Linked DNA regions of Schizosaccharomyces pombe. Each later gene encodes a partner of the first gene's protein in a complex. Each region holds a gene or a part of one and is shown on either strand. Other genes may lie near its edges.

Region 1 (8,364 bases):
AAAACTCTTCACGTTGTCTAGCAGCAGGCTTGTGATAGCCAAACCACCAATAGCAGGCACCGAGAGTGCCAAGAATCATAGTTACAGAAAAGTCTGTGACAATTCGTCTAATAAATTCGTCAGTTTCAGCGGATTCAGACATACGGCGTTATTCAAAACCATTCCTTACCTTTTAAACATTCCAGTTACAGGACCGACAGCCATTTTGATGATACAGCAATAATTTAAACAACTTCAAATATTTGTCAAGAGAGGGGAGTTGGTATAAGAAATGTAAGCAGAATCCGACTTAGTTTGTGTGGACAGACGGAGGTGATCTTCTATTACTCACTAAAGTTTGTTAATTTAAGATTTCAAAATTCGAAGAAATGTGCTATATTTCAAAAACAAAAAAAATAATACAACATAATGAAGATAAGTCGGCCTTTGAATGGTCTTAAGCAACTAGTAACGATACCTATTAATAGTGCACTCGATATATATTGTATTACTTTTTACATTTCTAAATTTCTGCAAATTTTTTACGTTGTTTAACGGTACAATACCATCGTATATCATATACTATTGATCCTTAAATACCATAATTCGAAAGGTAAGCTAAGAAACATTGTTTTTCTTGTTCTGTAGCGGATGAGGCATAGATACTCGCAAGTATTTATTGATTGAATGACTTTGTTCTAACTAAATCATACCATGAAGATTGAAGTAAAAATAAATCTGTAAAAGTTACATTTTATGCTTATTTATGTCTTTTGTTCTGAACAATTCATTATATCCATTTAGTTTACATGATTAACAATAATTGTGCTAGGATGTATTTCGCTATAGCAAATAGCAAATTGCTGTTGATCGCATTATATATGAATAATGCAGCACTGTAACACGAGCAGAGTACTTGGTTCGCACAAAAAACTGTGACGAAAAAGCTTAGAAAGTGCATTCTGAAGGGATTCTAGTTTTACCTGAATATTACTGAGAAAGAAGACATTTTCGATTTTTTTAATTAAAAACATACATCGCATACATTCAAAATTCGCTTCTAAATTAAATATAGTTCAAAATCGACGCAAAGTAAACGAACGTCTCTAAAAGCTGCACTAGCAAATCAATAAACTATAATCCTTGAGCCTAAAATTTATAATATATATATTAGCAGCATGGAAGCCGTGATCGCGAATATTCTACAGCAGTTGGGATTCGATAGCATGACTAAAGCAGCAGAAGCATCCTTTGTTGAAGCTGTGGACAAATGTAAGTCCTGTCGAACCGAGAAAATTAAAATTCTTTATTTCTAATAGCAATAATAGATTTGAGGAACTCTTTTCGAGAACTTGCTCTTCATACTCAATTGAGCAAACACACAATTCCTACGACTAAAGATGTGGCCTTATGGCTCAATTTGTTGAATATACCCATGTCAAGCCTTCAAACAGAATTAGAAAAATATTTAAAACCTTTACCTCCTGCAATTAATGATGAACTAGATAGACTGGCCAATGAAAGTCAGGATATCCCTTCAAAATTCAAATCATCCTTGGATTCGAAAATGGTATCTCAACTTTTGGGATCCCTGGCAGTGTCTCAAAATAGACCAGCTTATGTCGTTAATCATTTACCTCCTTTTCCTGCATCACATACTTACATGGCTACCCCCGTATATCCCGTTCGTCCTACATCTCCTAAACAGATTCGTGAACTCGCAACTCAAGAATCCAGGCTTGCTGAACATGCTCTTCGTAAAATTTTAAATGTTAATCAACCACGTTCTGCCGATTCGCCTCGTCATGCCTCATTTGAAAAAGCGTGCTCCGAGCTAAATCTCGATGTTTCGTCATTTCACTTAGTAAATTGGGAATCCCAAAAATGGAGCTCCCAAAGGTGAATATACTTGTTAATTTCTTTCCTTTTACGTTAATCAAAAAAAGATTAACTTATTTCCTTTTTTTTTTTAATTTTTCTCAACGACAGGTCCTGACTGTAACCCAATCTGATTTGACATTGGTCGAACTTCCTTCATGTGTCCATCCACCCTATTTTTGCATTAGCTTTTCTTTCTCTATAATAATGTTCCCTATAGACTTACACTTGAAAAAATCTTTGAACTGTAATACAGACGACGTCGTTCTCATGTGCACTTACTTTTTCACAGATATATTGTTTCATGCATTTATATGCCGGCTTTTCAAGTTTCTCTTTATGACTTTTTTGTGACATTGCGAATGAAAATTTCCTTTTCTCTTTGTGCAGTTAGTTCCGCTTTCAATCAACCTATTTTTATTATTTGTCGCTACTCCTTCATTCAATAAAATTGCCTTGATCCCCTCTTTCTCTTGTATTTAAGTAGTAAAATAACGTAAGGAGTTAATAAACAAATGAAATAATAGAGGCTCTAGTACAAATTCTACGCCACAGGGTTTTTCGATCGTTCTGTGCGAATGTAACTAAGTTGTACTTTTTTGTGTATTTACGAATATTTGCTTTAAAGTAATCGCTATCAGACTTGTCTTGCAACTGTATTTTTATAAAGTTCCAGCATAAAGCAATTTCTTCAGTGAATACGCAGCATCTCTTCATTACACCCTTAGGTTATTTGAAATGGGTAAAATCCAAGTATGAATAATCTTATCCAAGGTTTTGAAGACTAATGTCATATGCTAACGACAGTAGATTATATGAAATGTATGTAGACAAATACTACCGATGCTTTAAAGCGCATAGCGATTTTTACCGTACTATGGTTAAATCAAGCCTACAAATCTCGGTGACGAGTTGAACATTAGATTATAAACATTCATGGAGGAAAAGACACCAGAAAATGAGCAATCGTATGTATTTCAGGGAACTTTTTTAGTTTGTTAAACTAACTTGTAGGAAAAAAACATTTGATCCAAAGGACTCTATGAAAATAGAAGAAACTAGTACAAATGGTAGCTCACAGCCATCTCAACCTTCAAATATCAAGCTTTCTATAGGGTCTATCTTAGAAAGTTCTAATGATAACGGAGATCCTGAGTACTCGGAAAATGGAATGGGGAATATGAATATGAATACTTTACCAATGGCTACATCGACACCCATGTCATATACCAAACAACCTTCTGAAGCCAAATATCCAAATTCAGTTTGGGAAAGGAAAGGGGTTTCCGACCAAGAGGAAAATACAAGCTCTGTTAAACGTCAAAAAACTCTTCCTACTCAGTCATCAGGAGAAGAGGAAGCCAAGTATTCACATCCTGGAGCGCCAACGGCTACAAGTGCTGATTCCATTAGTATGGAATCGCGTCCATCCAATTTATCAACTTCCTTGTCCAAAACGACATCTTATCCGCAATTCCAAGTTCGACAATTCGTTTCTCCGATAATCAGTATAGATAATAGTGCGTTGGAACCTTTTCTTAACCGATATCCAGCGTCTGAATCTTTATTTCCAGTCACCGAATATGAATACACTCCTTGGCTTGAATTTCCTCTTTTATATTCCTCAATTGGTAAGTTCGTTCGTGTGACAATCGACATCAAATGGCTGAATGCAGCCATCAATCCCAGACTTTGCAGACGAGAAATATGGGGGACCGATGTGTATACTGATGATTCCGATATTGCTACTATACTTGCCCATTGTGGATGCTTTTCTCTTTTGAAGCCAGTCAGAAAAATTGCCGTTGTCGACTTGTACATACTTCCTCCTTTAGTTCATTACAAAGGCACTAGGAAAAACCAAATTGAGAGTAGAAGCTGGTCTTCTCGTCAAGATGGCATAAGTCTTAAAATAAAAGAAGTAACTTGGAAGCCAGCGTGTGCCTCAATTTTTGAAAACTCCATACATACACTCACTCTGGAAGAACGGCTACAAGCTCGCTTAGAGCTATCACGCTCTTCTACTTTTAAAATCTAATTTTTTGATATTATTAATCGGTTTCTTTTCAAAAATATTTTTTTTTCTTTTTATATATCTGCCTGTACCAAGAAATTACTTATTTTTCAACACTTCATTCAATTTCACTTTCGCGAATTTACGGAATCGCAAAAGCTTCTCGCTCTACTTCGCTAACTGTCTTTTTTGTCTATGTCAAATTCGTGTAATAATGTGTCCGTTGATGTGCAATTACTACATAAGCAATTAGCGTTGTACAATATCGCATTGGTTTTGCAAAATTCCTTTGCCTTGGCGTCCTCGTTCCTAGTTACTCGTGCGAACGCTCGCCTCCAAAATTAGGTATCCCGCAGATAGTATATTGATCCGATGATCATAGCAATCAATAGTAGACTTCCGCAGTCTGGTTTGGATATTTTCGGTTCTACAATCAAAGTATATACGTTTTTAATTTAAATACCTTCAATACTATTAAACCCTTTTTTTTGTTAATAGAGGCCTCTTTTTTTTTTCTTTTTTTTTTTTACCACTGCTTTATTTACATGACAACGATACGTCGGTCTCATTACTCGTGCCATAACAACACAAACAGACAGTTTGTCTTTGTTCAGCTGATTAACTGAAGATACAAAAGAACAACGTGAATAATTAATTATCTGGCATTGTCTAATTTCCTCCGTGTATTGAGTATTGTTGATTATAAAGTTTGCGGAACTAATGAGGACGCGGAATGGAATCATAGCGGAATTACAGAAATTTTCATTACTTTTGCGCCGTCGTTTCAAAATGTAAAATTGCCGCTCATTATTTAAATTTCAAAAATCTAGGGCAAGTTAAAACATGTAGAATATATTATTTACGAGTATAAAATCGATGGTAAAACAAAACTTTGAAAATATTCGAAAAGGTGTAGCAACCTTTTAGGCGACGATCGTAAGACGCAGCACACTGTACATCAATTTATCCTTGTTGGATGCTAAATATTTATTTTTGCACTAACAACTAGGGCGGCGGCCAACATCATACATTACATATGCGTTAGACTGGTTTTCGGAACCCTACCCTAAATAAGGCTGAATGACTTGAGAGCGGGGGCGGTACGCTTTCTTCTTTTCCCAACCATAACTTTGGAGTACACGACATAAATAAGAGCGTTGCCTTAAAAGCCGCGTGCAACTCAATTTCTGGTATATCAAGATTCCAGTTCTTGGTTTCTGACTGGTTCAACGACTAGCCATCTACTACTCAATTGGTGAATTGGACGACGAAACTGTGTATTATCTTGTTTCACTTGCTAAAGAGGAGACGTACATCTGAGGTACAGCACTCTATTAGTCTTAATCGCTAAGTGCTTTTTCGATCCCTCAAAATTATCTGCAGGATTGCAAGGTCGTCAAAATCACCGTGATTTCTTTTATTACGTTGGTAAAGTCATTCAAAGTACTGAGAAATTGTTGTTGGCGATTTTAACTCAGTTTTGCTTTTGCTCTATTTTCAAAAAGAAGAAAAACGATCATATATATATTTTATTGTGAAGACTATTTGAGAATATTTTTGGAAATCATGTATTCTCTTTAACAAATTCACGTGAATATCTTCTTTCGTGTCGTTATAGGTTCAACAAGTAATTCTTTTATCGACTTATAGTATTTTTTTAAAACTTGATTTTTGCGACGCTCGTCTTACTTACTCACTGCTGTCCAAGTGACTTTTCGTTTGTACCTCTCATAATTTTTTATTTATACTTCTTAAAAACTTGAGCCTCTCGTTGTTTATCACTTATTGATCGATTGACTTCATTTTAAGTTGATTTTTTTCTATCTTAACTGTGCGATTTTGAAAGTTCAACTCATCTTTCCTTTCAGCGAACACATTTAACTAGCTCAGTTACATACATTACAGCTTTCGTTAAAAGTCTCTACTTTAGACGTTATCATAAAAGATTATACAATCTGCTTTTGTCTTCTTTGCTATTGCTTGATCGTCTGGATACTATCCTTACAATTGCACTAAATCAAACCATCTATTTTCTTATTTTTATTAAGGCATCCATCGATGACTGGGTTACTTAGTATACTTTTGCATTACAAAGGCAACGGCGACTTGGCTACTACTGACATCCCTTCTCACGAGAAAATTCCGTCTGCTAAACGCACGGCTGTACAATTTTGTATTGGTCCGACCCATGAGCAGTCTCCGCGTATGTCGACCGTCAGTCAGGGCCGAGTTACGTTTGCAGTGTTACCTACAAAACCAAAAGATGAAGTTACCTCCATGAAAGCTAATGGCTCTCGTCAATCGTCTTGCATCGTTTCAAATGCCCGAAAACGCCAGTCTGTTCATTGCCTTTCTAGAAGTCCAATTCCAAGCACCCGACTGAAGGAGAATGACAGTAGACTCTGCAGTCCTCTTGCTTCTCCGACAGGCGGACTAAAGAGACCAGCAAAAGTGTCTTTTGCACTTGCTAATACTCCTTCCCGTAAAGGGAATCTTGTCCCACAGTCACCTAGGAGAACTATTGCTACTACTTGCAAAGGTGTTTTAGAGGATGTATTGAAAAAGGACAATGAGTTGAAGTTTAACGATTCTGATGAAGAAGATGAAGTCGATGATGAGGAGATTGAAAGTTTCAACTCATTTTCTCGTAAAATGCAAACAATCAGTAACTCTCGTTATCGTGGTTCCCCGAAACCAAACATTGAAAAGCAAAGTTGCTCCTCTGAATCCGATCGCGTTTCTCAAATCAGCGATGATGAGGAAGATGAAGAGGGATCCGCTGATGAGGAGGATGAGGAAGATTCAGATGTTGAGCTTTCCGAATCTTCCTTATCCGATGATGAGGATTCTCCTCTTCGTTGTCCTTCTACACCAGTCCAAACAGCTGCTGCTCCAAATGAAAGTCAAATTCCCGATGATACGGATTTCGTTCCTGGTACATTTGACGAAGATCAACCTGCATGTTTAGCTTTTGCTTGTTCCTTAACGCACGCGAACTCTAAGAGATCAATAATGTTGCCCCAGGATATAGATCCAACGTTTCCTGATTCGGAACCAGAAGATGATGGTCATGCAAGTTCTACAGTTGGCTCTCTTTCTAAAGAGGAGGCCCGTTTTAAAGCTAAAGCCAAATGGAATTACAAGTCTTCATTTTCCGCACATGTGTCTTCTGAAGTTTTGCGCAATAGCAAGTCACCACCTCTTGACATTGCTCGTAAAGCAGTCGGCGCACATCGTGTTTAAACCAAAGAAAAAATTGGATAATTATCCGTTCTTGTACATTAATAAATGGAATAGTAAAGTTTAGTCGCATTTAGTCATCTAAGGTTGTTGTTATGTGCGCATTTTCTTCATGAGTTTCATTATGCTTTGTAGCATTATCCATTCGTTACGTTATCATTTGTTTGTTATACTTGTTAAAAAATAACATATTATTCCAACCAGTTATCGAGTATTAACAGAAAATATGTATATTAATAAACTATTTTACACATAAAAAGTACACAGTGTTAAATAAAACTAAGATCCCAATTGTGATACGATCACCAGCGCGATAAGACAAATTCTGGATTCTCAAAATTGCTCTTAAGGCAATCTACAAACTTAATTGCACGGCTTTTGCTGATGTTGTCCTTGATGGACAATGTCAGGGTCAAATCCTCAGTAGTAGATGGCTCCTCGTGACGATTTATTCTGGAATCGATACTATCGCTGTTGCTACCCAGCAGCATATCATAAACATCATCCAAAAATTCAACGTTATTAGAAGAGCTTTTTGTCACAGAACTGAAGTTCAGCTTTACATAGTCGCTTAAATTGCTAGGTAAACTGTACGGTTAATATCAGAGCAATCGCAATGAAAAGTCTTACCCTATCATAGAATCACGAATGTATTTGTGTAAATCTTTAGTGTTATTGTTTTTTGGGAATAGCTTAGGTTGAAAATTTGAAACCGAAGACTTTAATTTTACGATTGGAGCGCCTAGAAGTAAATCGTAAGCAGATTCAATTGAGTTAGGTTCAACTTTCGACAATTCAGATATAGAAAGAGCATCACCAATCATTGCTGAGACGACTTCATCAATACCAAATGCATCTTTTTCTGAAAAAGATATTAGCAATAAAATATAATAAAAGGACATTACAATACCTTTTCTTTTAGCTAGCAAAGATTTTAACTTTTCTAGTGAAATAGATCTCTCAAAAGTGATATATTCATCTTTCATCGGAACAGTTTTTAAAGTTTCTATCATCGTTGATTTCCTAACGGGAACGCTGTCTTCAGTGTACGATGGTTTTTTAGGCTCAACGCCAGAAAAATCCAAAACCTCGAGATTACGAACAAATTTTTGAAGAGATGAAGGAACCCCTTTATCAATTTTTCCGACGTGTGCTAATACATCTCCTTTGAGAAGGCGACCATGAGGGCCTGTAGCAGGAATAGACCACGGGTTTTCGATTTTATATTGATGAATCAAATAGCTAACGGAAGG
Region 2 (7,936 bases), on another chromosome or scaffold:
GGTCCATCCTGATAATGTGATGGAAGTAAAAACATACATTATGAGGCATCTTCCTGTTCTTTATTACTCTGGAAAGCAAGGATTTGACAAAGACCAAAATGGTGTATCTGGAATTTTGGATCCTATATCAACTTGCTTGTATTTAGATAATTCCAACTTTGATTTATATTCTCAAAATTTGGAACGATCAGAACAGGCTTATTCTTTGCGACTTCATTGGTATGGAAAGTTAACTCCCAAAACCGATATTATCGTTGAACGAATGGTACGTCAAGGAAGTACTCTTTCACATAGTGAAGACCGGTTCACTATCCGCGAGAAGAAGGTTAGAGAGCTTCTAAGTGGGAGATATGATTTTAGGAAGGTTGAGGATGATCACTCGACAACTGCTTCTGATCAGAAGAAGAAACTAATTGAAGATGTTGAACAGCTAATCGTTGACAATCACTTGCAGCCTGTTCTCCGTTCTGTTTACACTCGTACCGCATTTCAGATTCCAGGCGATGATGAGGTTCGTATCAATCTTGACTCAGACTGGGTTATGATTCGTGAAGACTCTTTGGACATCGAACGTCCTTGTAGAGACCCCGAAGATTGGCATCGTCACGATATTGACGATGCTGATTTCCCATATAAGCACTTAAGAAAAGGAGAGTATTCTCGTTTCCCTTATAGTGTCCTAGAAATCCGTGAATGTGTTAGATATGATGAAGACGAACCTCTTTGGATCTCTGAATTGCGTAATTCTCATTTAATTTCTGAAATTGATGGTTTTTCGAAATATGAGCATGGTGTTGCAATTCTTTTTGAAAAATACGTATCTCTTTTACCAATGTGGGTATTTTCAATGGATCAAGATATTCGAAAAGATCTTCAAGAGGTGTACTCCCATCCCGAGGGATCTGCGGGCTCTCGAAATGTTTACATTAAACGTAGGAATCAAAGAGTTTTAAAGCAGAATATGACACCCGAACCTAGTCAACCCTCACCTTTGGTCAATCGTTTAAAGGCCAATGAAATGCACCCTGTTTCAGAAGAGCCCGAAGATAATAGAGAGGTGTATCGAAATGAGCACGGAGACCATTTCAACTTCAGAAGCATACCTGGTTTGCTGAAGCCATCTACTTATGGATCGTTTAAGCATCATGGTAAAACGTTTGTTACTCCACCCCATATCAAGAAACCAGAGATTCCGCTTAGAGTCAGTGGTCCGATTAAGGTTGAGGCCAAAGTTTGGCTTGCAAATGAGCGTACGTTTTTGAAGTGGCTTCATGTCGTGGTCTTGCTTGGTTCTCTTGCTCTTGCATTATATAATAGTGCTGGAGAAAGACTTGGTCAGGCTTTTGGAGTAGTTTATACTCTTTTAGCTATTTTCATTGGGTTCTATGCTTGGAAGCTTCATGCCAAGCGTTCTCAAATGATCAAGTCCCGCAGTCCTGCGCCAATGACTGATTATTGGGGCCCATTGATTGTAGGAACAGCTTTGGCTATTTCTCTTATTGTCAACATGTCATTTGCACTTAAGGATGCTGTTTATCAAAATCTCATTGAACCTGATCGTTTGCTTGTTAAATTGTTTACTTGAGAAGTTTCGATATCATTCAACATGGGATTTTTCCAACTTTTATTACACGTTGGATTTACTATTTAAATGCAATAAATTTTTAGAAAGCTAGAAGATAACATTTCAGTAAATTCTTGATTTAGATGCAATGTGAAGTTGAAAATTGCAATAAGATTGAAAACTTCATTTAGAGCAGGGCTCTTGGGTTATTATATTGGTTAATTGGTTTGGGGATATATGTTATCGGTTTTTACTAAAATTTGCACGGGTATTGCAAGTTTTTACGTGTCGATTTACTTTTTTTGCAAGGATTAAGAAAAGCTGGATTTGACCATATATTCATTACATTACAACACTGGGGTATATTAATACTGGGATATTAACGTCGGACATCCATTATAATTTCTATGGTTTAATTAATTTAATAGCAAAGAATAAATAATCAATTATTAATTATCCGCTAAGCATTGGATCTAATTGAGTAGAGTAAAATAACTAAAAACCCCTAAAATCCGTCTGATTAGGGAACTGATGGTTATCGGTTATTAGGTATAAAAATAACAATATCTACTGTAAATAGGAGAAACGAACGTTTTTAAAAGAGAGTTATTTCACATCTGTATTAATGAATTTTTTAATACAAATGCTGACTACATGATGCTTTTCATCTTTGGGAGGATAAAAAAACAAAAAGTGAACGAAGGAAGAAAAGAGGGACTTGAGGTATATACTACTGGTTATTGGCCAGATAAAACGATGGACACCGACTTCAAGACGAAATATCCAAAAAAAAAAAGAAAGGTTTTACCGAGATGCAAATGATTGTAAACAAAAAATTCAAAACACCTAGAAAAAAATAAATAATCCAACGAAAATGAAATCCGTGGTTTTTCGAAATTTTTAAATTTGATTATTTCCCTAACCCGCCAAAAGAGAAAAAGAGAGAAAAAATCTATTTTTTGAAAGGCCAGCAGGATTATGAACGATTCGCGAATTAGTCGTCAAAGAAACCTTCATCGTGAAAAGCTTTCCAAAGACGACTAGCTTTGTTCACATCGACACGACTAGCACGTTGAGCATCTGTTTTCCTAAAGCTTAGGCCTTGAGTACGGCGATTGTGCCACTCAGCAAAGATTCTACGCTTATTGTCAAGATAAACGAGACAAGGCAATCGAAGTGTTGCAGCCAACTGTAGCTCAGCAGGATGTAAAAGGTGTCTATTCTCATCATTGGAAAGATCAAGGGGAGGGCCCTTCCATTCGCTACGAAGGGGGCGAGGATGAGAACGTTTATCCAAAACAGACATATCAGGAGAATAATCAGGCAATAGCTCATATGGTGTATTGGCGACATCAATGGCCTGGGTGTTGGAGGAAAACTCCCTACTGGACTGCTTGAAACGCGTATTATGTTGAGGCATTCCAGGATGAACATCTCCTTTTGAATGCGGAGTTGAATGTCCCGAGTCCGGCGTATCAGGAGAACCTCTTTTACGGGTATTAGAAGCGTGCACATCCAGAAACGAGCTGGGTTGCCTTCTTGGACGTTTGGCAGCTGGAGTCGAAAACCTGTATGCTGGAGAATGACGCTGAAGCCATTGCCTTTCTCGGCGAAGCCAAATTTTAGGTGAATCTCGGTACAGATCGTAAACCTTGGAATGCAGTTGCGCAACAGGTGTTGCTGTCGGCTTTGGTTCCACAATAGAATCTTTTGGAGATTCAGGTATTGTAGAACACTTAGGTACATCAACAGTACTTGCAACTTTGTCATTTGGAATGGGAGAAGGCGGCGGAGATATTAGGTACTGATATGCCTTAATGGCTGCCGCACATGTGTCCTTCTCCACATTTCTAGGGATCGAATAAACAAGCGTTTGACTCGATTTCATCTTACCTTTTTCCTTGATAAAGTCGAGCAAGCTGTCGATAACCTTTTCAATTAAATCAAGTAGACTCTGAAATTACTCCAAATTGTTGTTTTTATGTACAATTCTTTTATGCAAAAGTCAAAAGAGCGACCGACTTTAGATGAAATTTACAGCCAACAGCAATTCCAAGTTTCACCTTATGCCAAACGATTGTTGGTGTTAGTAAAATCCCAAGGATGGATGGAACACATGTCGAAACCGGTAGGTAGGGTTAGGTTGTCAAAAAAACATGTTACTTGAATGGTAAATACAAAATGGAAAATAAATGCCATTTTGAAGAAAAAAATTATTTGCCATATTAATCAAGTGGGTTTCCCAAGTTTTTCTTTGCTCACAAGGGTTTCTGTTTCCAGTATTATGCGAAAAATCAATTCCAAAAAGGAAATACATCCCATCAAATATAATTAAGCCAAGCGAAATACTGATGGATAGGGGATTAAAAGTACCACATTAGATGTATGGGTATGAACTTTCTGTAGTGTTGGTTGATTTCTATTCTTGCTCATTTCCCAATGGAGTTCATATCGGTTCTTAAAGAGTTAGAGCTCGGCTAACTATGTTTATCAACAAAATAGGGAGTTTTGATGCAGCAACATTGGATTATTAGACTGCTTCTAATGAAACAATTCCTCCTTTGGTTTCCAGTGTAATGTCGCAATCCAAATCAAGGTTAAATATACTCATTACTATATTCTTAATATTTACAGCTTTGCCTTTCCAGCTGCTAGTTCCTAATGCACTCATATACGACATAATTGAAAATGCCAATTGTTTGATTTTATAAATGAAGAGAAATACATTTCTGTGTCCATTAGAGTAATTTCTCAATTGAAATATATCACTATTTTACTTGTTTATTTATTCATTCTTTATCGTTCAGATGTTCATTAATTAAAAAGCTAACTTTTTTATTGATGATCATTGTTTACAGTATGAGAAAAAAAAGTAAATTTGTAATAAATACTTTCGCAATATATCTTACAATAAGAGAAATGTACAAATAAATGATTTATAAATAAATTATACACATGTCTTTTTTACTCTTCTTTATAGGAAGCAGTTTCAGAGTACTTAAGAAACCTACTCACTTATTCTCTTCCATATACAGTACTTGTATATTTTCACTAGTTCACACATTTACTTGTCAGCAGTAAATTAATCAATTCACTCGTTTTTTTGTGCTGTTAAAATTTTGTGAACTATTAATATATATTTTATCTAATGATTTACAAAGTCTCTACCTTTAGCTTCCTATTTCTTTGTTGAATAAAACATATATCTGGCATGAGGCGACAGTTGTCGTTTCATGAATCTACAAAGAGATCATTAAAAAAGAAGAAAATAAGAAAGATTGAAAAACCTTCTCTAGTTTCAAAAACTTCACGCGACAAAAATGCTTCGATAACCGATATTCATGAAGAAGATATTGAAGCCTTTTCTGATGAAGAAAACAAAATTGTTCATCTCAATAATTTAAAAGAAGATCGATTTCAACGTAAGAAAATTTAAAAAGGTTCAAAAATTAACGGTGCGCATAGTTTGGTTTGAAAAATACATTCCTCAAAAAGCGGCTGATCTTGCCGTGCATAAAAGCAAAATAAGTGCAATTAAGCAATGGATGTTAACGGATTCTTTAGAAAGTGTATGTTAAATCTCCCCTAATTCTCTCAAAAATATTTCTTGGCTAACAAAATCATAGAGGTTACTTTTGATCTGTGGTCCTTCTGGTTGTGGAAAGAGTACCGCAGTTCAGGTCTTGGCTAAAGAATTAGGTTATAGTCTCATAGAATGGCTAAACCCTATGAACCTAAAAGAGCCTTCAAACCAAGAATCAGATACACTTTCGCTCACGGAAAAGTTTAGTAGATTTATGTCTTTATGCGAAACTTATCCAGAGTTAGAGCTTATGGATTCAAATAATATTCAAAAGCGTGGAAAAAATGCACAAGGAAAGAAAAAGTTTATTTTTTTGGATGAAATTCCTCACCTTTCTAAATTCAATGGCTCTCTTGATGCTTTTCGTAATGTCATTCGCACCGCATTGACATCGCGAGGCGCCTTTTCCATCATCATGGTTCTTACAGAAATACAGTTAAACAACTTGGAAGGTATTAATAGTCAAGATCGAAATTCCTTTAATAGCGTGCAGATAATGGGTAATGATCTACTTCAGGATCCACGTGTAACAGTTTTACAGTTTAATCCTATTGCGCCGACATACATGAAAAAATGCCTTGGCTCTATTCTACGTAAAGAGGGTGTTCCCAAGTCTCCAAAGTTGTTGAGTTTGGTGGAGAATATTTGTTCTGCCAGCGAAGGGGATTTGAGGAGTGCGATAAATTCCTTACAATTATCGATCTCTCAATCTTTTGAAAAGAAAGGAACAAAAAATATTAGAGAAGTAAAAGAGGGGAAAGGAAAGGGGAATGATTTTAGCTTAGAAGCTGCGCAGGTTCTTGAACGATTGTCAAAAAGCGATTCGGAGGCCTACGCAAGATTTAAAAATTATAAAAGTGCGTATATCCCAAAATCCGATAAAAATGAGAATTCGTTTTTCAAGAAGGACGTTGGCCTTGGAATGATGCATGCCATTGGAAAAGTTGTATGGAACAAACGGGAAGGAGATGATGAAGTGCTAAAGGCTTCATCTCAGCAAACGGGCAATTCGGAACGAATAAAGGGAGTAAAAGTCAGTAAAAGCCAAGAAAACAAGAATTGTATTTCATTAAAAAGTGACCAGCGAGAACGAATGCTTAATGTTGATCAATGCTTTACTTCCAAAAGACGAAGCTTGGTGGATATCGAATCGACAATCAACCAGAGTGGATTAAGCGGATCTGTTTTTCGTTACGGACTTTTTGAAAATTACGTTGATTCTTGCGTTACAACGGATGAGGCTTTTAATGTATGTGATTTGCTGAGCATATCTGACTGTTTGTCCCATGATTTTCCGTACTCCTACACGGGAGATGAAATATCTACGTGGTTTTCAGTTCAAGGTACATTATTTTATCTACCGTCTCCCGTTCCACGAAAGTGGAGACAACTTCGATTCCAACAGTGGAACAACGAAGGTATTGTAAGAGGCATTTTTGATGATTATATGGTAATTTATGGAAAAAGATCTGTTTCTGATCCCGTTATTGAAGCGCATGAAGATCAAGTTTTAGAAGATATTGATGATCCGATTGAAGATGAAGATTAATGTTTGTAAATACTTAATGAGCCAAAAAATTAAACTTCTATTGATATTAAACATACAAACAGGTACACTATAAAAGACATTGGAAATGGAAGTCTTGACAAGGCAGTAGCGGTTTTTTATTCTCCAATAAATTTTTGGATATATTAAGGATTCGCTTCTATTTCACCAACGGTGAGTTTCTTTACCGAACTATTTAACATATCCATGACATTGTGTGAAAACTCAATGCTTTTTAAATTTCACAGAGAAATTTAAATCCAACCACCTATTTTGGGCACTATGTATAACTTTGTAGACATGGTATACACATTGCTGAAGAGCCACCATCAACAAGCGATTTTTGGTGTGGGATATTTGGGGATAATTAAACAAGGAAACTAACAACAATATAAGTTTTTCAATTGAATAACGGATCATTTCGCTACACCAAAGCCATGGTTGTAATATCAGACTTCCTTTTTTTTTCAAAGTAACGATTCTATTGCTTGCAATCCACACATTACAGAATTCCTATCAGCTCGCAAGCGAATTTTAGACCAATAGTTCTATTTTGTTTAATGTTTCGTATTAATTTTGTGCAGCGTGTTCTTCAATTTGTTCGCTATACAGATATAGATTAATTTAGGAGTTTAATCATCGCGAGAGAGAAATCACGTATACTAGCGACCATAATAACCAGCTAGTAAGTAAAATATCAACTTCAAGTAAAAGACAATTTCTTGTTGGAGTTGTGTAACTGTTGTTAGGTCTTTATTTTTACTCATGGCATATGATTAAGTAGTTATTTACTCTTTACTATTGAATGTGCTTTTAAAAAGGACTGTTATAACCAACTGAAATAGATTACAATTGAACTAATGACGATGGTTCACTCGGACCTTATTTACATTATAGCAATTGATGGGTAACTAACAGATGCAAAAATCAATTACAAAATTGTAATGGACATAAAAAAAACTAAGTGGGAGTAATACGCTGCCAGCTACACAGCCCATAAACGTTTTATGAGCAAAGTTTGAGTGCGACGAGCTTTGCTAACGATCCATTATATTATTATATGCAGGAAATAAGAGTGATTGGTGTAAATATATATTGTAGTATAGACTATATCGAATTTATTATCGAAATAAAACAAAATTGAAATAAAAGGGATTGGCTTGTTTCTGGGAAATCTCTAATTATAGCTTATAAATATCTTAGCAACAATATTCAACCTATACTATTATCGTATCAGATTTGT

The links.
Region 2: rxt3 (region 1) and laf1 share a complex: the UniProt entries of both Schizosaccharomyces pombe proteins name them as parts of the RPD3C(L) complex.

What each region holds. Positions count from the first base shown.
Region 1 is NC_003421.2:1,042,674-1,051,037, forward strand, and holds rxt3 (Clr6 and Rpd3L histone deacetylase complex LCCL domain subunit Rxt3), read left to right. Parts: upstream 1-2,793; coding exon 2,794-2,825; exon of another isoform or gene 2,826-2,871; coding exon 2,872-3,895; 3' UTR 3,896-4,784; downstream 4,785-8,364. Other genes in the region: cox9 (cytochrome c oxidase subunit VIIa), read right to left, coding at 1-107, 170-204; taf8 (transcription factor TFIID complex subunit 8), read left to right, coding at 1,158-1,251, 1,308-1,882; SPOM_SPCC1259.16 (uncharacterized protein), read right to left, coding at 1,949-2,030, 2,084-2,214; SPOM_SPCC1259.08 (uncharacterized protein), read left to right, coding at 5,930-7,114; pyruvate dehydrogenase Pdx1, read right to left, coding at 7,414-7,699, 7,742-7,973, 8,022-8,364. UniProt on the Schizosaccharomyces pombe protein: Component of the RPD3C(L) histone deacetylase complex (HDAC) responsible for the deacetylation of lysine residues on the N-terminal part of the core histones (H2A, H2B, H3 and H4).
Region 2 is NC_003424.3:5,248,583-5,256,518, forward strand, and holds laf1 (clr6 L-associated factor 1 Laf1), read right to left. Parts: upstream 3,653-7,936; 5' UTR 3,453-3,652; coding exon 2,559-3,452; 3' UTR 1,938-2,558; downstream 1-1,937. Other genes in the region: vtc2 (polyphosphate synthetase), read left to right, coding at 1-1,585; RFC-like checkpoint protein Rad17, read left to right, coding at 4,776-4,986, 5,030-5,133, 5,191-6,696. UniProt on the Schizosaccharomyces pombe protein: Component of the RPD3C(L) histone deacetylase complex (HDAC) responsible for the deacetylation of lysine residues on the N-terminal part of the core histones (H2A, H2B, H3 and H4).